Cricetulus griseus: one gene and its partners. The protein of the gene in region 4 interacts with the protein of the main gene of each other region in a pairwise test. Links are inferred from orthologs where the notes say so. Each region holds a gene or a part of one and is shown on either strand. Other genes may lie near its edges. The genes, in order: Raf1, Ralgds, Rin1 and Rras2.

Region 1 (4,598 bases), on a different chromosome or scaffold from region 4:
TCAGATATAGAAAATCTGGTGTAAGCTTATGATGGAGTAGTTTAGCCCTAAAGAGAAATGAAGTATCAGCACACAAGTAATACAGATGATGGACTTGGAAACAGGCTAAGTGAAAAACATAAGTCATAAAAGGCCTCACACCCTAGAAATATCCACACATGCAAGATAATCTAGAAAACGTTAAGTCTGCAGCAGCAAAATGAATATTGGTGATTGCCCCTGGGTGGGAAGCTAGTGAGAAACTACTTAAGTGGATAGTTTTATTTCAGAGTGATGGAAATGTTTTGCAACTAAAGTTGCGGTTACACAACACCGTGAATGTACTAAATGCCAATAGATGTTTACTTAGAAATGGTTACTTAAAAAAAAACTGTATGTGTGTTTGTAAGTGCGGTTGCAGGCTGCACACGTACCATCGAGGTCAGAAGATAACTTTTCAGGAGTCTGTTTTCTCCTTCCATAATGGGGATGAGAGGACTGATCTCTCAGGTCATCAGGTTTTATATACTCTGCAAACTTTTTACTCTCTGAGCCACTTTGCGGGTCCCAAAATGGCTATGACAATAGTTACAAAAGAGGCGAAGACCAGCCCCGAATTAAGTCTCTATTTCAAAGACAAAAAATAAAAAAAAAAAACGTTGACGGTATCAAATTGCCCGCCAGGTGTCTACTCCACCAGGGCTGTACGAAGGCGCACCACAGGATTCAGTTCACGGTGGGCCGTATTGGCTTGACAATTAAAATTTTTTTTTTTTTTTTTTTTTGAGACAGGGTCTCACGAAGCCCAGCAGGGCCGTGAACTCCTGATTCTCTTGCCTTCACTTCCCAAACGCTGGGATTACAGATGTGTAACACCACCATACTTTTAGCTTTTGGTCAACCAGTAAAACCTTCATTTACAAACGAGGAACCCCAGGCTTAATATTAATAGTAGGAGGGCTTTCCTAAAGCACCCCTAAACCGCCGTTCTCCGTGGATGCCAACTTCAGAGAGGAAGCGCCACAGACGGGCTCCCCCACTGCCTCGCGGGTGGCCCGACCCGGGCTGCACCCACGGCCGCCCGCTCGCCCGCTCGCCCGCCCGCTGGCCTCGGGCCTGACGCACTCACTCAGGCACGCCACTGTCAAGCCCGAAATGGCGGCCGCGGCATCGCGAGCCCACGCCCCCGGAGGAGGCGGGGCCGGCTTCCAGGCCCGAGAGATAGATCCCCGAGCCAAGTTTCAAACGGACGGCCGAGCTCCGGAGCTCGCGCAGAGGCGGTGAGCCCGCGGCGCCGCAGGTCGCGAAGACGAGCGTCGAGCGCAGGGCTCGCTCGCCGGGGCGGCCGGAGAGCGTCTTCATTGCGGGTGCTTGCGCCGCCATCTTAGATGGCGGGAGTTAGAACCGAGCGAGCTTGAGGCGGGAAGGCTTCTCTGCCGCTCTCCGCGGGCCCTCGGACGGGGCCAGCTGGCCGGGCTTTGGGGCGCGTGCCCTGAGGCGCGGGGCTCTAGTGCAGCGATGCGGGGCCTGCCCGGGGCCCCGTCCCCCGGCTTGGGGACGCGCCGAATGTGACCGCATCCCGTTCACTCAACCACCGCCGCCGCCGCCGCCGCCGCACGACGGGACCCGGCGTGGCCCGGCTCCCTCAGGTAGGCCGCGGGGTTGACGGCGCGGCTGCGGGGCGAAGGGTCCGCCAGGCCGCTGTCACCCGGGTGGCGGGCCGGGCGCGGGCCGAGTGTCATGGCCGGCGAGCCAGTTTCCACACCCCTGCTCAGATTTCCCAGTGTTTCTCGGAAACGTGCCAGCGCCACCCCGGTGCCCAGCGCGCATTCCTCATATTTTGGCAATGGGGTAAAAGAAAAAAGAAAAAAAAAACAAGTCCGCCCAGAGCTGCTCGGTGCCTGTGTTGTCACTGGGATGGGCTCGTTCCTTTTTTTCTCTCGGGCTGCATAAGTAAGTGGGGGGAGCCCGGCCTTGCACCTCCTCTCGGGCTGCTTCGCTCAAGTGACACCCTTTTAGGGAAGACGAGGGAATCGAGGAAGGCAGCGAGAAAAACGGGTCAGTGCCCCGCCACTAAGGCGTGGGGACCTCGCCCGGGGGCTTCCTAATGTGAGGCCCGGGATGCTCGAGATCGGGAGTCGGGGGTGCCTTTTGTGTGAAGCGACAAGCCGTCCAGGCTCTGCGGAGCCAGTGGATGCAGAAAGAGGAGTTGGGACATCACCGGAGGCGAGTCGGTGTTCGTTCATTCATTGTTCTCTCTCCAGGGCCCAGGGTGTGCCTCTGGTTTTCATTCTTTGTTGGGGGGGCGGGGGGGGCAATGACGGGGACGGTGGGATCTCCTCTCTCCGTGTTGAGACACGACTGGGACCTGGGGAGGGGGGGCGTCGGGTCTGTGTAAAGAAGTAGGGAATAGATAAATTCAGGGCACGTCTGGATGCCTGCATTGCGTCCTGTGGGGTCTGTGAAGACTCTGCCCTCGGTGCTCTGGCTCCCGGGGCGTGAAAACAATGAGCGGTGATAAGGGTTGGTTTCTCAACTGTTCTTGGGATTTAGAACAGTTTAAATGCGCTTTGGGGAGTAGACAAGCCCCGAGGTTCCTCGCTTGCTTCTCGCGGAGTTTGGAAGGACCTTGATCGCCAGGTGAGGCAGCGGGGAGGGCATTGTCAGCAGAGGGAACAGCTGGCACCAAGGCACTGAATGAGGCATGGCCTACAGGAGTTGGGATGAGTTCGGGGAGCAGCTAGTAAATGTGGGGTGCAGGAAGGAGATAGTGCGACATCAGGGTCCAAAAGAAAAGTTGATAGCTTCTGAAGGGTCTGTGTAATGAATGGATGGTGACGAACTAGTTCATTTAGTTTGGATTAATTAACTCGATGTTGCTAATTTTTAACTCTGGCTGGTGCCTGCTTTGCTCCCTCCCCCAATGGTAGTGAAGATGATAAAATTGAAAAGATTTACTTTAAGTCTAAAGTAAACCAGTTTTGGTAATGGATACTAACTGTTTCTTGCCCGTTCATTGGTTAATGAATTGGATTCCTATTCCGAGATATTCTCGAAGGTTTTTCTAAGGTTATACATGCATGCAAAAATGTTGACTTCATAAACGTAGTATTCTTTACTAACTCTGAGTTTTAAATCTCTGCTGACAATGTAAAACATGTTCCCTAAACTACAGAAATTGGCAGATTATGCAAAGCACCTGAAAAAAGTGTAGCATGAAAGTGTTTTTAATTAACACTATTTGTACAGTACACTGTTTTCTTTGGATTAAGTCCCCAGGTCTCTGGCCCAATGATCATTATTTTTAAATAGTCACTTCGATTAAGGCTTATGGTGAAGTGGCTACTCAGATGTGAAGAGTTTTCAGGGCAGTTTCAAAATCTTTGGTGTTGTGTACCACTGAAAACCAGATTCTTTGGACTTGTTTTTACTCTTATCACTTCAAGGGCTAAGTAAGCTGTTTAAAATCCAACAGCAACATTTGACCTAGCTGAGCTCTGGATACTTGGAAAAATAAACCTGCTGATGTTTCTGTTCTGAAGGCTTATCATCAGGTCTGCAGGGCTGTGACTGTGCCCTGAAGTGGGGTCAGGCAGCTTTGTTAAGGTCCTGTGAATAGTTGAAAAGACCTTGTGTGCCTGTGAAGTAGGAGGCTTGACTGAAAGGCTTTTGAACACATTTGAAGACATTTGGCCTGGTAGAAAAAAGACTGAGAACCATATTAAAACCTTTCGTTTATGACAGAAAGTATGCAAAAAATAAGAATGCTACTGTATTACAACTACTCTGAACCCAGTTGCTTTAGCCTCAAATCACTTTTGCTCTGAAGATTAAACAACTTCACATCTTTTGGAAGTTAATTTGACATTTGCAGAAGCACTAAATTTTTAATGTAAATATAATGACTAACTTCAAATTGCTCTTTTAGGAAGTCTATATTAGTAAATGTATGATTACTTAATGTTTAAATTTCAGACAAAATTTGGTTAGTCTACCTACTATCTAAAAATAGAAAACAATATTCCGTGAGCGAATGCTTTGGTTTGCCTGTTAGGTGTAATAGTGATAACCCTGATCTTGGGAGGAGCTTGTTAGCTAAACAGCATACCTTAATGTTGACTTGCAGAAGAGAATTAAATGCTGTCTCTGAACGACAGTGAACAAATGGAACAGTGAGGGATTTATGAAACCATAAAACCAAGCTTTGACTCAAATTTTGTTGTGTTGTTTTTCTAAAGTTGTATATAGACCTGTAAAATCAGGAATATTGGGTTCTTTTTGTTTTTTGCTTTTTTTTTTTTTTTTTTTTTTTTTTTTTAAAGCAGGGTTTCAATGTGTAGCCCCTGTATGGTTTGATCTCAATATGTAGTAGCCCAGGTTTGCTTTGAACTCACAGAGATCCCCCCTGCCTCTGCCTCTGTAGTGCTAGGATTAAAGGTGTAGGTTCTTTAGGAAGAGGTTGTTGAGGGTTCTTTTTCTTTTTTTTCTGATATATGTACATATAGATGGGTGAAATTGCTAATGTTCATCCAGTGGGTTCAAAATATAACACTAGATAGTCATGTCGAGATTGTGTTGATACTAATGAGGTCTAAGCTCTTGTCTGTAATCTTGTAATA
Region 2 (4,786 bases), on a different chromosome or scaffold from region 4:
CCCCCCACCTCCTGCCCCTAAGGATCTGCCCTCAGGTCCCTCTGAGGCTGGAAAGGCAGGGACCAAGTACCCTAAGGCCACATTGGACTACCTTTGTGGCACACAGCCCATGCGGGCAGCAGCAGGGACTCAGGGTCTCACACGTGAACTTCCCTCTCCCGCCACACAACACTGGATTTTAGCCCAAGGCACCCAGTACAGTGCCAGTTTGCAACAGGTTTTTATTGGTACTCAATGGACAGAAATGTGCCCTGAGTGGCCAGGCAAACCCACAGGAGGGGCTGGATGCAAGCAGTGTAGCAGCCTGAGCAGGGCTCAAAAGCAAGCCCTTTCTCAGCCCTGGGCTTGGGCTGACAGCCCAGCAGCTGGCCTGGGCCCTGTGGGAATGTCATGTGAGCCCTGCACCCTTCCCTCATCTGAGGGGGGTATTCTGTCAGCTGGGTTGGGGGGGGTGCTAACAGGCACTGAGAGCCATACAGGCCTTCCTCTAGGAAGTCAGCACCCCGTCACACAGATGGAAACTGCTCCATGAACTCCATTTCCATCAAGCAACCACAGCACAAGTGAACCAGACCACCTTACAATGCTGAGTGTGGGTACATTTGCACCAGATACTCAGAGGAGATGCCTCAGGCCTGGTTAGAAGGCAGCATAGAAGAGGCTCCCCCCCCCACCTCCTGCCCCTAAGGATCTGCCCTCAGGTCCCTCTGAGGCTGGAAAGGCAGGGACCAAGTACCCTAAGGCCACATTGGACTACCTTTGTGGCACACAGCCCATGCGGGCAGCACCATGCTCCCAGGAAATCTCAAGCAGACCAGGGAGAAGAGGGGGTAGGCTGCCTAGTGAACAGCTGACACAGCAAAAGTGTCTGCCTGCTCATCTGCCTGGGGCAGGCATCCAGGATGCCTTCAAGTGCCAAGGGAGGAATGCCACATGGTTGGCTGTGTCCGTAGGAAGGATCACCCCCCTCCCCCCAACTACAGCATGTGCAAGGCCTCGGGGCCCTGGGATGAAGTTGGCAGCTGTGTCTAACACACTTGGGTCAATCACTTGGGGGTGACAGTGTCCCTGGGGATCCTGTGAGCACTCCCCGCACCGGCCCCCTGCCATCCCTAGCACTGTCTCTTAAGCATAACCAGAACTCTCAGAATGAGGCGAGAAAACATGACCTGGGTAGCATCACCTGATCAATGTTCTCAGGCCAGCAGGATGCATGTCCCCAGCTAAAAGAGAATGAGCCGCAGGCCAAGCCCAGAACAGTAAGTAGTAAGGGGCCCAATGGGGACTCCAGGCCTGCCACCTCTCCCTGTAGAGCGCTGGATAGTGGTGGTGGAGTGTCGAGTCAGACATTGGCTGTTTCTGTTTCACAGGAGGCCTTGGCAGACATGGTAGATTTCAGAGCACAAGACCACAGCTTCCTTCTACATGTGAAGAGGCTCCGTCTACTTGGTGGTGTAGGTGGACTCTCAACCTTGAGGGTGACTTCTAAACCTGCCCATACTACTGCCCAGTGCCACTGGGTCACTAGATCACTCTAGCAGGCCCCTTGCAGGCACCCTATAGCTCTGGACACACAGGGCCCATAGGACCATATTTCAGGAAGGGTCTTAACCCCCAGCTTGGCTCAGTAACCTAGACATGAGCTGGGAGAAGAGCAACGGCTAACAGGTGGCAGGGCTGGGGCTGTAGCTGAGTAAGGGTAGCAGACAACACCCAGCTGATGATATATGAGAGCCATACCTATCAGAGGCCCACCTGGAACTACTAGACCCAAATGGCAGCTCACTCAAGAGTTCTAGACCTTGAATGAAGCTTCCAGAAGAGGGAGAGAGCAGTCTGTATGCTGGTTACCAACCTTAGGCTGCTCCTCTCCAAAGTGGGGAAGCACACTCCCCATTTCAGAAGTAGAAACCAGAGCCTAAGGCGGGGCCAGAGAGACAGTGTCCAGGACTCCTCAAGGCCAGGCCCTGGTTAGACCATGAGCCCCAGTAGAGAAGGGAAAATGAAAACGCCAACCATTAGAGTCCTCTATCCAAGCTCCAGCACTGGGTGGATATCCTAGATGCTAAGGCCTCACAGCAGCTCTAGGTACTCCCCAAGCCCACAGCCCACAGAGGCCGCCTCAGCTGGAACTATGCAAGGTGCCTGGTTGCCATGGCAGCACTGGAGCACCAAGACCTAGGAAAGTAAAGTCTTGGGCTCAGTCTGTGCATAGCTTTCAACAGAGTGAGATTCAGGTCCCCAGGAACCCTCCCTGTCAGCCTGAGTCCAACTACTGGCCAAGTTAGCATTTTTTAAAAAAGATTTTATTTATTATTATGTATACAGTGTTCTACCTGCATGCTAGTCAGAAGAGGGCACCAGGTCTCATTTTAGATGGCTGTGAGCCACTATGCGGTTGCTGGGAATTGAACTCAAGACCTCTAGAAGAGCAGTCAGTGCTCTTAACCTCTGAACCATCTCTCCAGTCCCCAAGTTAGCATTTTAGGAATGAAAACTGAGCTCAAACGGGGGAGGAAACACCTATCCCTTTAGCCTAGTAAACCCATAACTTGTATACCCAGTCCTGCTGCCCATTTGCTACTGGGCTCTTATCATAAAATGACCACTGCTGGGCAGGCCTGGGAGGGGGCATGGCCTGGTCCTCACAAGGCATAAGCAGGTCCAGTTAAAGGTTCAGACCCACACCACTGACCATGAATATGCCATCCAGCTTACTCAGGCATTTCTTGTACCAGGTCCTTTGTATACTTCATGCAAGTGACTCTCCCAGTATGCTGCCTGGCAGATGAGGGCACAGCCAGGTAGGGCCAGGTGGAGGCTTACTCAGGTAGAGCCAGGAAACAGCAGCCAGGACAAGAATTTGGTCCCAGGCCTGGAGGGACATACCCGGATCTGGCTGTTGCTTCTACCAGAGGCCCAACGCCAGGGCAGGGTCCAGCCTTGGTCACACAGATGCAGGGCAGGAGCTAGAGACAGAAATGACTTCCTCAGGCTACACAGCAAGTGGGAAAGTAGCCAGGCCAGTGGTTTCACACCTGCACCTCTGAGCAAAGGCTTAAGGACATGTCCTGGGGAAAATGCCTGTGATGCCACGCTGAGGCCACATGTCCTAGGAGACCAGAGTCCAGACATTCAGGAGGCTTGGGCTTTGTCACCTAGTCAGGAAAACTAGTTGTGGCCACTTTCAGGCTCTGTAGATGGCACTTGTTAGGCTGTTGGTCTCACTTGGTCCATTCCAGAACTCAAAGAATAATTAGCTGGGCAGTGGTGGCGCACACCTTTAATCCCAGCACTCGGGAGGCAGAGGCAGGCAGATCTCTGTGAGTTCGAAACCAGCCTGATCTACAAGAGGTAGTTCCATGATAGGCTCCAAAGCCACAGAGAAACCCTGTCTCAACCGCCCCCCCCCAGAGTAATTAGCATTACGCCCATTTTACAGATGAAGAAACTCCGAGGCTCACAGGAGCCAAGCTGGCATTCCAGCACAGCTGCCTTCCCCACAGAGCTAGGTTATACACCTCCAGGTTCAAAAGGACAGAACACTTGCAGGTGTGACTGTAGGATAACAGTGGCAGGCAGAGGCATCAAAGGAGGGGAGACTGCCAACAGAATGCCCATGGCTCAGCAGTTCTGGTCCCTGTGCCCTGCTCAGTGAGCAGCCCCTCAGGTTGTCCTTTCTCCAGAGAACTGAGTTTGTTAGGGGCCTCAGCTCCTGTATCAGGAAGCAACCAATCTCAATCTCTCACTCTCACTGGGCTGTGGAGACTGAGCTTCCTAGGGTGTAGGCCTGTTAACATAGCACTTGTGAGCACATCCAAAGCCCAACCCCCAGGGCAGGTGTCAAACTGAGACCCTTAGGAGTGCAGCCTTTTGGAACCCCCTCCACAACCCACAGGCCTGAAAACTGTCTGGCCACCCCACTTAGAATCAGCCTGTTCTTGCCCTGCTAGCAATCCGGTTCCTCCTGCTCTAGAGCTGCCCTGAGGCTCCCAGGAAATGGGCCAGCAGGTCTCTCTCAGTGTTCCAGACTGGAGACAGAGGACCAGTACCAGCCATCTGGGCCTCCTCAACCTTTTCCTCTGTACCTCTGAGAAAAGCAACAGTGGGACAACAGGGTCCTGGAGTCCTAGCAGTGATGGCCAGACTCCCCAGACTCCCCCCCCCCCCCAAGAATATAACAGGCCCTAAAGTTCCTGGAGGCTGCCCTTTTACAGTCAGCCAGGAAGTCCCTCTGAAAGATTATCTTGTGTACATACACACACACACACACACACACACACACACACACACACAGCCCTCTATGTCCCAGTGTCAAGGGAACAAAAGAACCTTGGGATAAGCTAAGAGCTGCACACAGTGTGATCAAGAGACCAGACAGCCCAGAGGGAGAAGCCCCCGCTTCACTGTTGCCAACCCACGCAGCCTTCAGGCTTCATAGGCTAGCTGCCAAGGTGAGAAGCTGGCCTGGCCTCTGCCTCTGCAGTTGACCAGCTTATTGACTCTGTGCAATCTAATTAGTTGTTTCATCTGTCAAATGGGTTATTAATAGCCTGACCGGCCCCTCTTCCCCAAAGGACAAAATGCATACAAATTATTTAGTTGAGGTCCTTCCACAAAGCCCTAGGCCACTAGCTAGTATGTTAAGCTCCCAGTTCCACTGTCCCCAGGGTCCCCAAATGTGAGGTATTTCCCCCTTCCCCTGGATTCTAAATAAGCTTTCCCATCTCTCACCATCCCAGGGCCACCCTCCACCCCCAGCTTCTGCTGGCTTCTACTGTCCACT
Region 3 (4,745 bases), about 32 Mb from region 4:
GCTTTCACCCTTGGTGTAGAGGGGGCAGTGTCAACAAGTTAAAGTAGACTCTAAAGGCCCCTGTCTTCTCTACACCCAGGCCAGGGCAGCAGTGTCTCCTCAGAAGAGAAAACCAGATGGTAAGAACCAAAGAGGTGGCCCTGTCAGAATCCATAGCTTGATCTCACTTTGAGGATTTTGTGGGAGTTTGGGGAATAGGAACCAGATTGGCAAGGACTTGTAAAGGTAAAATGGAGGGCCCAGTGGTAGAGTGCTTGCCTAGCATGGGTAAGCCTCTGGTCCCAAGTTCAGCACCACAGAGAGATAAAGGTGGACTGGAGCTGGCCCGCAGCAGGGTGGGTCAGAGGGCAGGGAAAGGAAGCCCTGTGGGTGAGGGGAGTATGGTGTTTCCCCAGGGCCTCAGGCAGTGGTTGTTCTCTTTGATTCACCTTCCTTGTAGTGATTTTCCCATTGCCCCTAGGACCCTGACACTGCATTTCCACTCAGAGGGTCCTTGGAGCAGCTGGCACCACACACAGGACTAACATTTTTCTGCAAAGGCAGGGGGTTGCCTGGTAGTCCTCCAGTGTTACTGCTGTCCCCTGACCAACACTGGCCTGGGCTCCTCTGCTCTCCTTGGGATCTGCATAGCCGTGACCCTGAAGCTGACCTGGCCAAGCAAGACTCCGTTCCTGCCCCCCCCCCAAGAGTAACTTCCTTTATTGTCCCCCCAATAAAGATAGGCTTCATATGACAGCAGCAGCCCTCCCCACTGAGCCAGGAGCTGGGGAACTCTTGAGCCAGAAACATGTTGGGGTCTTGCCCCTCCTAGCTATCGCTGGAGATGGCATCTTCCCAGACTTTCTCAGGGCCATTCCTGGTGTCTGCCTCCCAGATTCTAAAGACTGGAATAAAACTCATCCTTGGACCTTGACCAGTGTGTGTCTGCTGTTCTCTTAAAAGGAATCAAGGCTTTATGGGGAACACCTGGGACAGACTCTTCTGGGGTCCCTGTTGTTCAGAACATTGTGACTTAGAAACGAGCCTGGGCCCAGAGCTGGAGTCTACACGTGGTGTGGCCCAGGCAAACAAATGAAGCACATGGCCTTGGATGAAGGCATGCCTGGAGGCCAGGTCATGTCTGCACCTGCCCCAGTCACTTGGCAGATTGGCAGGCAGGCTGGCAGGGCCTGTGTGTGGGAGGCAGCTAGCAGCAGCACCATGTGCTGACAACCTCACAGCCACACTCTCCCCTGGTTAGCATGAGTGTCAGAACCACCCCCAGAACCTCAGTTAAGCAAAGGGTTTAGTTTCCATGGAGACACAGCATCCTTTCTCCATAGCAACCTGAAATCACAAAACCCAAGTTAGGTTCAGGAATGAGTCATCTGTGACCAGTAGGGGGTGCTCTCCCACAAGGGTGACCCCCTCCAAGGCAGAAGCAGATGAGCAAGTGACCACAGACTTCTTGAGGTGACACAGGGGTGAGACTTGGGCCTGTGGGAACTTGGTCTGCCCTGTTTAACTCCTCCCTACCCAGCTGCATAGTGTGAGGTTCTATATGAGGAAACGCTGTGTGGAGGTGGTCCTCCCACAGCTGAGGCCCTAATAGTGACACTAACATAAAGGGGGCCCCTGCCATTCAAGGCTGGGCCCAGAATAGAAGTGGACACTGGCCACATGGAGTGGACATACAAGAGTTAACTGGCGGGGCGTGACAGGGTGAACCGCCTTCAGGAAGTGTTACTCACCGCTAGGAATGTGCCCGCCTGTGCCTTGGGGGTTGGATTCTCTTCCTGAGTCCCAGGAGAAGCTGAAGGAGCTCCTAGCCATGGAAGACCCTGGGGATACAGAAGCACACCCTTTGGGAACTGCCAACCTAAACTTTGTTCCTGGGCACCAACAGAAAGAAAAGTTAGTGAAGTTGGGAGGGCAACTGGGTGCAGGGGGTGAGGGCAGTGACAGGAAGGTCTGGCAAAGACAGATGGATAGGTGGGAAGCCCAGGACGGGGAAGAGGTGCTTGCCCAGACCCCTGCTCAGGTCTGCGTGTCTGCCCCCAGTCCATCTCCAGACCCTCTGTATGACACGCCTGACGCCAGCAGGGCACAGGCAGGCGGGGCCCAACAACCAGCACGCACCGTGAGTCTGCGGGAACGGCTGCTCATCACCCGGCCGGTGTGGTTACAGTTGCGGGCCAACGCTGCAGCCGCACTACACGTGTTGAGGACAGAGCCTCCAGGGGTGAGTCTTTTCCCTTCCTCCAGGACTGGCTCACCAAGGGTGGGAGAGAAAGGGCCTGGACATGGAGGCATTGAGCCTCCTAATCCTATTCACTTGCAGACCTTCCTGGTACGGAAATCTAACACTCGCCAGTGCCGGGCTCTGTGTGTGCGGCTGCCAGAAGCCAGTGGCCCCTCTTTTGTCTCCAGCCACTATATCCAAGAGAGCCCTGGTGGTGAGGGGGCTGGCCTGGCGGGAAGGGGCTGGAGACAGGCTGGGGAGGGAGGTCCCCAGAGAACAGCCTCACTCCCAGTGTCTCTCAGGCATCTCTTTGGAGGGTTCAGAGCTCGTATTCCAGGACCTGGTTCAGCTCATCTGTGCATACTGCCATACCAGGTGAGTCTGCCTACCTGCCGGGTACCTGATGACCACACGCCCTGCACCTGAATACCACTTGCTCTTGACTGCTCCTTGTTATGACCTTAGGGACATTCTTCTCCTCCCACTCCGGCTCCCCAGAGCCATTCATCAGGCAACCACCCACAAGGAGCTGGAGGCGATCTCCCATTTGGGCATGGGTAAGCGTTCCTTGCAGCCCATTGTACAGACGGAAACATAGACCAAATGGGGAAGAAAGGGCAACCAAGTTCTTTCTTTGTGGGCACCCTCCAGAGCCAGCTCTGAGGCTCCCATTGGTTTCTTTTTGCCAGAGTTCTGGAGTTCCTCCCTTAACACCAAGGTTCAGCAGAGGCCTTGTGAAGCCCCACCGATACCCAGGCTGAAGGCTCGCTCCCCTCAAGAGCTGGATCAGGGCACTGGTGCAGCCCTCTGCTTCTTCAACCCCCTCTTCCCAGGGGATCTGGGCCCCACCAAACGAGAGAAATTCAAGAGGAGTTTTAAAGTGCGTGTGTCCACAGAGACCTCCAGCCCTCTGTCTCCACCTGCTGTGCCGCCTCCCCCAGTCCCAGTGCTGCCAGGGACTTCTTCCAGCCAAACAGCAAGATTGCCTCCTCGACAGCTGCTGGAGAGGGAGAGTTCAATGGGGTATCGGGTGCCAGGGAGTGCTTCCGGCCAGAGTCTTCCTCCCCTACCTTCACTTCAGGAGGCCGACTGCTGCTCCCCCAGCAGCTCAGAGGAGGAGGGTTCTCCCCGAAGCCCTACCACCTCCCCGCGCCTGGGCCGCCCAAGGCAGCGGCCGCCTTTGCTTCGGTCCATGAGTTCTGCTTTCTGCTCTCTGCTGGCACCGGAGAGGCAGGTGGGCCGGGCAGCCACAACGCTAATGCAGAACCGATACACAGCTGTGGGTCAGCTAGTGCAGGACCTACTGACCCAGGTTCGGGCTGGTCCGGAGCCCCGGGAGTTGCAGGGCATCCGCCAGGCCCTAAGCCGGGCCCGGGCCATGCTGAGTGCAGAGCTGGGCCCTGAGAAGCTGCTACCACCGGAGAGGCTGGGTAAGGCCCCAGCCCTGGCCTCCACAGGTTCAGTTCCTGGCTCTCCACCCTCCCTCACCCACCTCTCTCCTTGCCTTGGTGCCTAATGATGGACTCCTGGTTTCCTTACACCCCACTTCCCCCCACTACTTTTGCAGTGAATTCCATGCCCCACCCCTCTCCTACCTCCTGTCTTGACCAGGGCCTCCTGCTCTTCCAGGCCCCTTCCCCCTGACTGTCTACTCTCCTCTGGCAGAACTGGTTCTGGAGAAGTCCTTGCATCGCTCTGTTCTCAAGCCTCTTCGACCTATCCTAGTTGCCCGCCTGCGGCGGCGTCTTTCCGCAGATGGTTCCCTTGGCCGCCTAGCTGAGGGCTTCCACCTGGCCCGGACCCAGGGACCTGGAGCCCTCGGGTCCCACCTGCCCCTCTCCTACCCAGTGGAGACGGAACAGGTGCGCCAGAAACTGCTTCAGTTGCTTGGCACCTATTCACCTACTGCCCAGATCAAGTGGCTCCTGCAGGCCTGCAAGTTGCTCTACACAGCCCTGAAAACCCAGGCGGGTATGACCCTCACCACCTTCCCCTGCTCCAGCTCTTTCTGAGTAGAGACTGAACCCCCTCTCTCAGGGAGAAGGTCCCAGGCCCCCAGAACTGCAAAAGGGCAGAAGGATCCAACCCTCCCGTCTCAGGGGTTCTAGAGAGAGGAGTGTCTTTCTTCCCTGTGGTTGCCATGACAGTCCGGTCCTGTCTAGGGGGTCTAGCAGGTGGTGGGAGGAGTCACTGTCTAGAACAGGGGTTAGACCCTAGCCTTTGGGCCTCTGAGGAGGCTGGAACGCCTTCCTTCCCATTTTTCCACAGGGGAGGATGCAGGCGCTGATGAGTTCCTGCCTCTGCTGAGCCTTGTCTTGGCTCAGTGCGACCTTCCTGACCTTCTGTTAGAAGCTGAGTACATGTCGGAGCTACTGGAACCTACCCTGCTCACCGGAGAGGGTGAGGGCACCCTCACTTCCTGTCCAGGTGGAACTGAGGCTTCTTAGTCGCTAGCAGGTCCTGAGCAAGTAAGGAAGGGAAGGCAGGACGCCCTACTCCAGCCTGAGCTGTACCCTGTTTCCTA
Region 4 (4,588 bases):
TGTGAGTGAAGGTGAGTACCTGCCATGGCACACATGTGGAGGGCAGAGAACAACTTTTGGGAGTTGGTTCCCTCCTTCTATTGTGGGTTTCAGAGACTTGGTTGCCAGGCTTGTGCTGTTCTTCTCTGAACTGTCCACTGGCTCAGTGCTCTTAATTGAGAGAAGAGGAAGCTGAGGCACAGAGGTTAAGTTCCTACCACCATGCCATTTGGAGAAGAGAAGGGATTTGATCCAGTCTACTCTCTGAGAATGTGACCCAGTGGTTCTCAACCTCCCTAGTGCTGTGACTATTTATTGCAATTCTTCATGCTGTGGTGACCTCCAGCCATAAAATTATTTTTGTTGCTACTTCATAACTGTAATTTTGCTGCTGTTATGAACCATAGTGTAAGCATCCAATAGATACGCAGACGGTCTTAGGCAACCCCTGTGAATGGGGTCGAGACCTACAGGCTGAGAATCATAGCCTTAACCTTACACTGCCTCTACAGAGAGGTATATTCCTACCTACTTAGCTGACACACATGCAGTGAATTTCTATTTATAATTGGTAGCCTGTAAACTCCCTTCAGCACACTCAAAACCACACAACAGAAGTGTTCCTTGTCAGCCCTGACTTCTGCATGCCTGCACATCTGGTTTTCTTTTCTTTCTCTCATTCTTCATTTCTTTTCAGACCAGGTTTCATTGTGTAGCTCTAGCGTGGAAATCACTGCATAGATCAGGCTGGCCTGGAATTCTTCGGGCTTACAGAGATCTGTCTGCTCCTGCTTCCAGAATATTGGGACTAAAGGCAAGGGCTACCACGTGCAGCCCAGCATGGTTTTCTTTCCAATCACACATCTATTTACAAGCTTATTCATCAGGTCTTTCAGAAAACCTCTGACTGGACAGCTCTGGGGTGAGTGCACCTTGGACCTCAGTGCTGTGCAGTTGTCCTTATCATCTTGTCTCACAAGGTGCCTATTGTCCTAGCTGCCTCCCGCATTGGACTCTGAGAGCAAGGACATGATCATGTGCATAGAAGCTGTGTTGGAAAAGAACATTGTCCTGGCATGTCACTGCCTGCAAATTTCTCACGACTCTCATATTCAGTTACCACACATTTCTCACACATAAACAGGAACGGAGATTTGCACCCCGCATCTGTCGACATGTACTGTGGCCCCATACAAGCACAATCACTCCCCATCTACTCTCATTGCTACTATATTAGTCCATCCATCACACGTTTAGTAATCTCGACAGCTCTCATCTTCCTCAATCACTGCCTTATACTTTTTATTTTAAAACAAATACAGAGCATCTGCATTCTGAAAACAGGGTACAGAGTTGAGTGAATACGATAACAGTTCTATTTTTCATCCACACCGTCACAGGCTGTTTCTTTCATGAGCACGATCCCTGACTTCTGCAATTACTGTTACTGCCATCAGTCTTCCCGGTTTCTTCGCTCTCTGCCTTAGAGTGCTCTAGGGGGCAGGTCCGCGGGGTCTGTAGCCCAGAGCGCTCAGGACCTTCAGCCAGGGCGGGCGGGTCTGGCCCCGCCTCCTCATGCATATGTAGCACCCAAGCCCGGCGGCCCGGCCCCCAGACGGCCATTTGTAGCGGTGCTGGAGGCTGCGTTCGGCTGCGCTGCAGAGACGCGGAGAGGAGCGCGCTCCCTGGTCGCTGCGTCCTCTGCCCCGGCGCCTTCCCGGCTTCCCAGTGTCTCGGGCAACTCCCAGCCTTTCCGGGGGATAACGCCCCGTGGCCCTCCAGGCCACTCACGGACCCCGCGCGCCCTACCGCCTGTAGCCCAGCCGGCCGCACTCGTCCCCGGAGCCGGGCCTAGGGCGCGCGGCGGCCGGGCTGGGCTCGGGCGTCCCGATGGCCGCGGCCGGCTGGCGCGACGGCTCCGGCCAGGAGAAGTACCGGCTCGTGGTGGTCGGCGGCGGCGGCGTGGGCAAGTCGGCGCTCACCATCCAGTTCATCCAGGTGTCTGGAGCGGGCCTGCGGGGTGGCGGCGGCGGGGTGGCGCTACCTGTGGCCGTGGCGACCCCGCCCGGGGCGCGCGGGTGTGGGGCTCCGGCGCGTGCGGTGCGCGCGGGTGCGGTTTGCGCGGGGCCAGGGCGCGCGGCTGCGAGGGCAGGCAGGAACTGTGAGTGAGGAGTCGGCGCTGCTCTCCTGCCCTGCGGCCACGGCGCCGCGCTGCTGCCCGCCAGGCGCCCGGCGCGGCGTCCGGGGACTCGGGCTTCTCAGGAATGTGGCCCGGAGGGCGGAGCTGCCCGGGTGGGAAGCACAGTTCCACCTTATCTCTGCGGTCGGGGCGGGATCCCGCGGAGAGCAGCCGCCTGGCGGAGCCGGGCTTCCTGCCCCGAGGGCCGGAGCGGGAACCCTGAGCATGCCTCGGTGGTCTAGGTGGTCCTGGTGACCCGGACTGCTTGGTCGCGGCTCCGCGCCGCCGGCTCCCAACAGTGTTTTCTCTTTGTGTGTGTTTGAGCTTCTCTTACAAGTAGTCTCTTAGGTGGTACGTCCGGGTGGGAGTGTTTGATCGTGCCCCAGGGAAATAATGGTTTCGAGGAAGTTAAAAATGTGCTTTGATTGGGGCGAGACCATTTCCTCGGAATTCCCGGTGCCTGCCTGCTTCGCGCTTAGGTGAAGTTTGGGATGAGCCCAGCTAGGAGAGAGTGAGTTCTGTGTTGCAGCTCCCCCTCCCTCCTTTTTTCCTGGTTGCTGGAGGAGGAAAGTCGGGTTGTGTCAAAGAAAAGGAAGGTGAAATTCATCCTTAGACTGTATTCTTGGTTAAGAGGTCCGAGTGATTTTTCTTTTTCTTTTTGCTTTTTTAAAAAAGCAACCGTAGATCTCTTTGCTTTTGTCATCCTGAAAGGCGTGGCATATGTTGGGAGAGCACAGGTACCCTGCTAAGTAACAAAGGTAGTTTTTTTCTGTGTCAAAGAGTACGGGTGGCATTTTTTTTTCCTGTTTCACCCATTTGTTGAATTGATAGAGTTGAATAGCTTATTTTGTTTCATTATAAACTGTGACGTTTATAGTGTTATTAAGACGCACAGTTCCATAACCTAAGTGTTTGTCAGCTTTCACATCGAGTGAATGCACAATAATCGCTCCTGTGATATTCCTTGGGATTAAAAAGTGCTGCTCAAACCTTTGTATTCAGAGAGGGTGTTTATGTCATGAACGGTGACAGTATGCTCCGAGGTGGTGGTGGTGTCAGGCCGTTGAGAAGTGAGATTGGTTTAAGTTTAAAACCCGACTTCAGTCAGGCTTTTTGGCAAGTTGCTATTTGCCTGAGGCCAAGAGAGTCATCTAAGTGACTGACATAGCAAAACAGGTCACAGCGAACTGTCTGTGGCTGATGTTGGAAGGGTCCAGAAATCAGAGGCCAGTCCTGGGTTCCAGAACTGATGGATAGTATTGCTTAGAAGACATAAATCAGAAGCATTTACGTTTTTGAGGGAGGGACTATCTGAATGTGATTGCTTCATGCAGTGTATACTCTGTTGACAGCCGTTTCTGTGTTAGAGATGTTTAGATGCAAAGGGAATTCAGGTTTGAAAACGTCAATGTGGGAAGGCTTTAAAAAAATGAGCTGTGGGGGCTGGAGAGGTGGCTCAACGGTTATAAGCTGGCTGCTCTTCCAAAGGACCAGGGTTCAATTCCCAGCACCCACATGGCAATTTACAACTGTCTAACTCCAGTTCCGGGGATCTGACACCCTCACACAGACATACATGCAGGCAAAACCCCAATGTGCATTAAATAAATAAATCTTTTAAAAAAATGCACTGTGGGGCTGGGGAGGTAGCTCAGTATAGAGTGGTTTGTCTTGTGTGGGAAGTCCTAGTGCCTTAAAAAAGAGCACCGTGTCGTCTCATTGGAGTGTGAGTGGAAATGTGATGAGAGTGAGGAGTCACAGGCCAGACTGGAAAGTGGGGGCAGAGGTGTGGGGAGCTGGGAGTGGGAGAGGCATGTGTGACTTGGGGCATTTGGTGCTCATGAAACAGGAACATAGCCTATGAGGTTGACTTGGTGAGGAGGAAGGAAGCACAGCACCTGTGTAGAGACTCTGCCACTCCTCCAAGCATGATGTAAGTTACTTAACCTGTCTGTCCTTTGGTTTTCAGTCATCTGTAAGCTGGGGTAATAAAGTTATACAGCCGTGAAAGTCAAATGAATTAACATATCCAGGGCTTTGGACAATGTGCACTTTATAGAAAGGCTATATCCATTACTCTGTTAACCTTAGATTATGGAACTAAAGTCACAATTTATCATCTATAGTTACACACACATATAAACACACCATATGGACTTGTAAACATACATAACAGACTCATAATTCCCCACCCTCTTAAAAAAGGGACATGCATATATAGATAACCTTCCAATTTCTGTTCTCTCCCCACCTCCACCTACAGTTCTCTCACCAGGTGCTAGGGATCAAACCCAGAATCTTGGCAGTCTTGTACCGTTGGTCATATCCCTTTAAAACTATTATTATTTTTTAAGATTGAATTTTAAAAAAGGTTTGAAGGGATACTCTTGAGCTCTGTAACCCAGGCTAGTCTTGAACTACTGATGTTGC

Evidence for each region.
Region 1: the proteins of Rras2 (region 4) and Raf1 interact in a two-hybrid assay, tested with the Homo sapiens proteins (2 studies listed by BioGRID and IntAct). The link is inferred for Cricetulus griseus from reciprocal best matches to the Homo sapiens genes RRAS2 and RAF1.
Region 2: the proteins of Rras2 (region 4) and Ralgds interact in a two-hybrid assay, tested with the Homo sapiens proteins (2 studies listed by BioGRID and IntAct). The link is inferred for Cricetulus griseus from reciprocal best matches to the Homo sapiens genes RRAS2 and RALGDS.
Region 3: the proteins of Rras2 (region 4) and Rin1 interact in binary tests that used the Homo sapiens proteins (3 or more experiments, as listed by UniProt). The link is inferred for Cricetulus griseus from reciprocal best matches to the Homo sapiens genes RRAS2 and RIN1.

The regions. Positions count from the first base shown.
Region 1 is NC_048601.1:29,167,503-29,172,100, forward strand, and holds the start of Raf1 (RAF proto-oncogene serine/threonine-protein kinase), read left to right. Parts: upstream 1-1,341; 5' UTR 1,342-1,628; intron 1,629-4,598. UniProt on the Homo sapiens protein: Serine/threonine-protein kinase that acts as a regulatory link between the membrane-associated Ras GTPases and the MAPK/ERK cascade, and this critical regulatory link functions as a switch determining cell fate decisions including proliferation, differentiation, apoptosis, survival and oncogenic transformation.
Region 2 is NC_048599.1:140,219,863-140,224,648, reverse strand, and holds the start of Ralgds (ral guanine nucleotide dissociation stimulator), read right to left. Parts: upstream 3,151-4,786; 5' UTR 3,136-3,150; coding exon 2,890-3,135; intron 1-2,889. UniProt on the Homo sapiens protein: Functions as a guanine nucleotide exchange factor (GEF) activating either RalA or RalB GTPases and plays an important role in intracellular transport. Interacts and acts as an effector molecule for R-Ras, H-Ras, K-Ras, and Rap.
Region 3 is NC_048596.1:54,234,274-54,239,018, reverse strand, and holds the start of Rin1 (ras and Rab interactor 1), read left to right. Parts: upstream 1-1,735; 5' UTR 1,736-1,738; coding exon 1,739-1,893; intron 1,894-2,040; coding exon 2,041-2,221; intron 2,222-2,320; coding exon 2,321-2,435; intron 2,436-2,523; coding exon 2,524-2,596; intron 2,597-2,686; coding exon 2,687-2,778; intron 2,779-2,910; coding exon 2,911-3,651; intron 3,652-3,886; coding exon 3,887-4,192; intron 4,193-4,489; coding exon 4,490-4,648; intron 4,649-4,745. Other genes in the region: Brms1 (breast cancer metastasis-suppressor 1), read left to right, coding at 80-119, 461-468. UniProt on the Homo sapiens protein: Ras effector protein, which may serve as an inhibitory modulator of neuronal plasticity in aversive memory formation. Can affect Ras signaling at different levels. First, by competing with RAF1 protein for binding to activated Ras.
Region 4 is NC_048596.1:86,550,706-86,555,293, forward strand, and holds the start of Rras2 (ras-related protein R-Ras2), read left to right. Parts: upstream 1-1,590; 5' UTR 1,591-1,869; coding exon 1,870-1,977; intron 1,978-4,588. UniProt on the Homo sapiens protein: GTP-binding protein with GTPase activity, involved in the regulation of MAPK signaling pathway and thereby controlling multiple cellular processes. Regulates craniofacial development.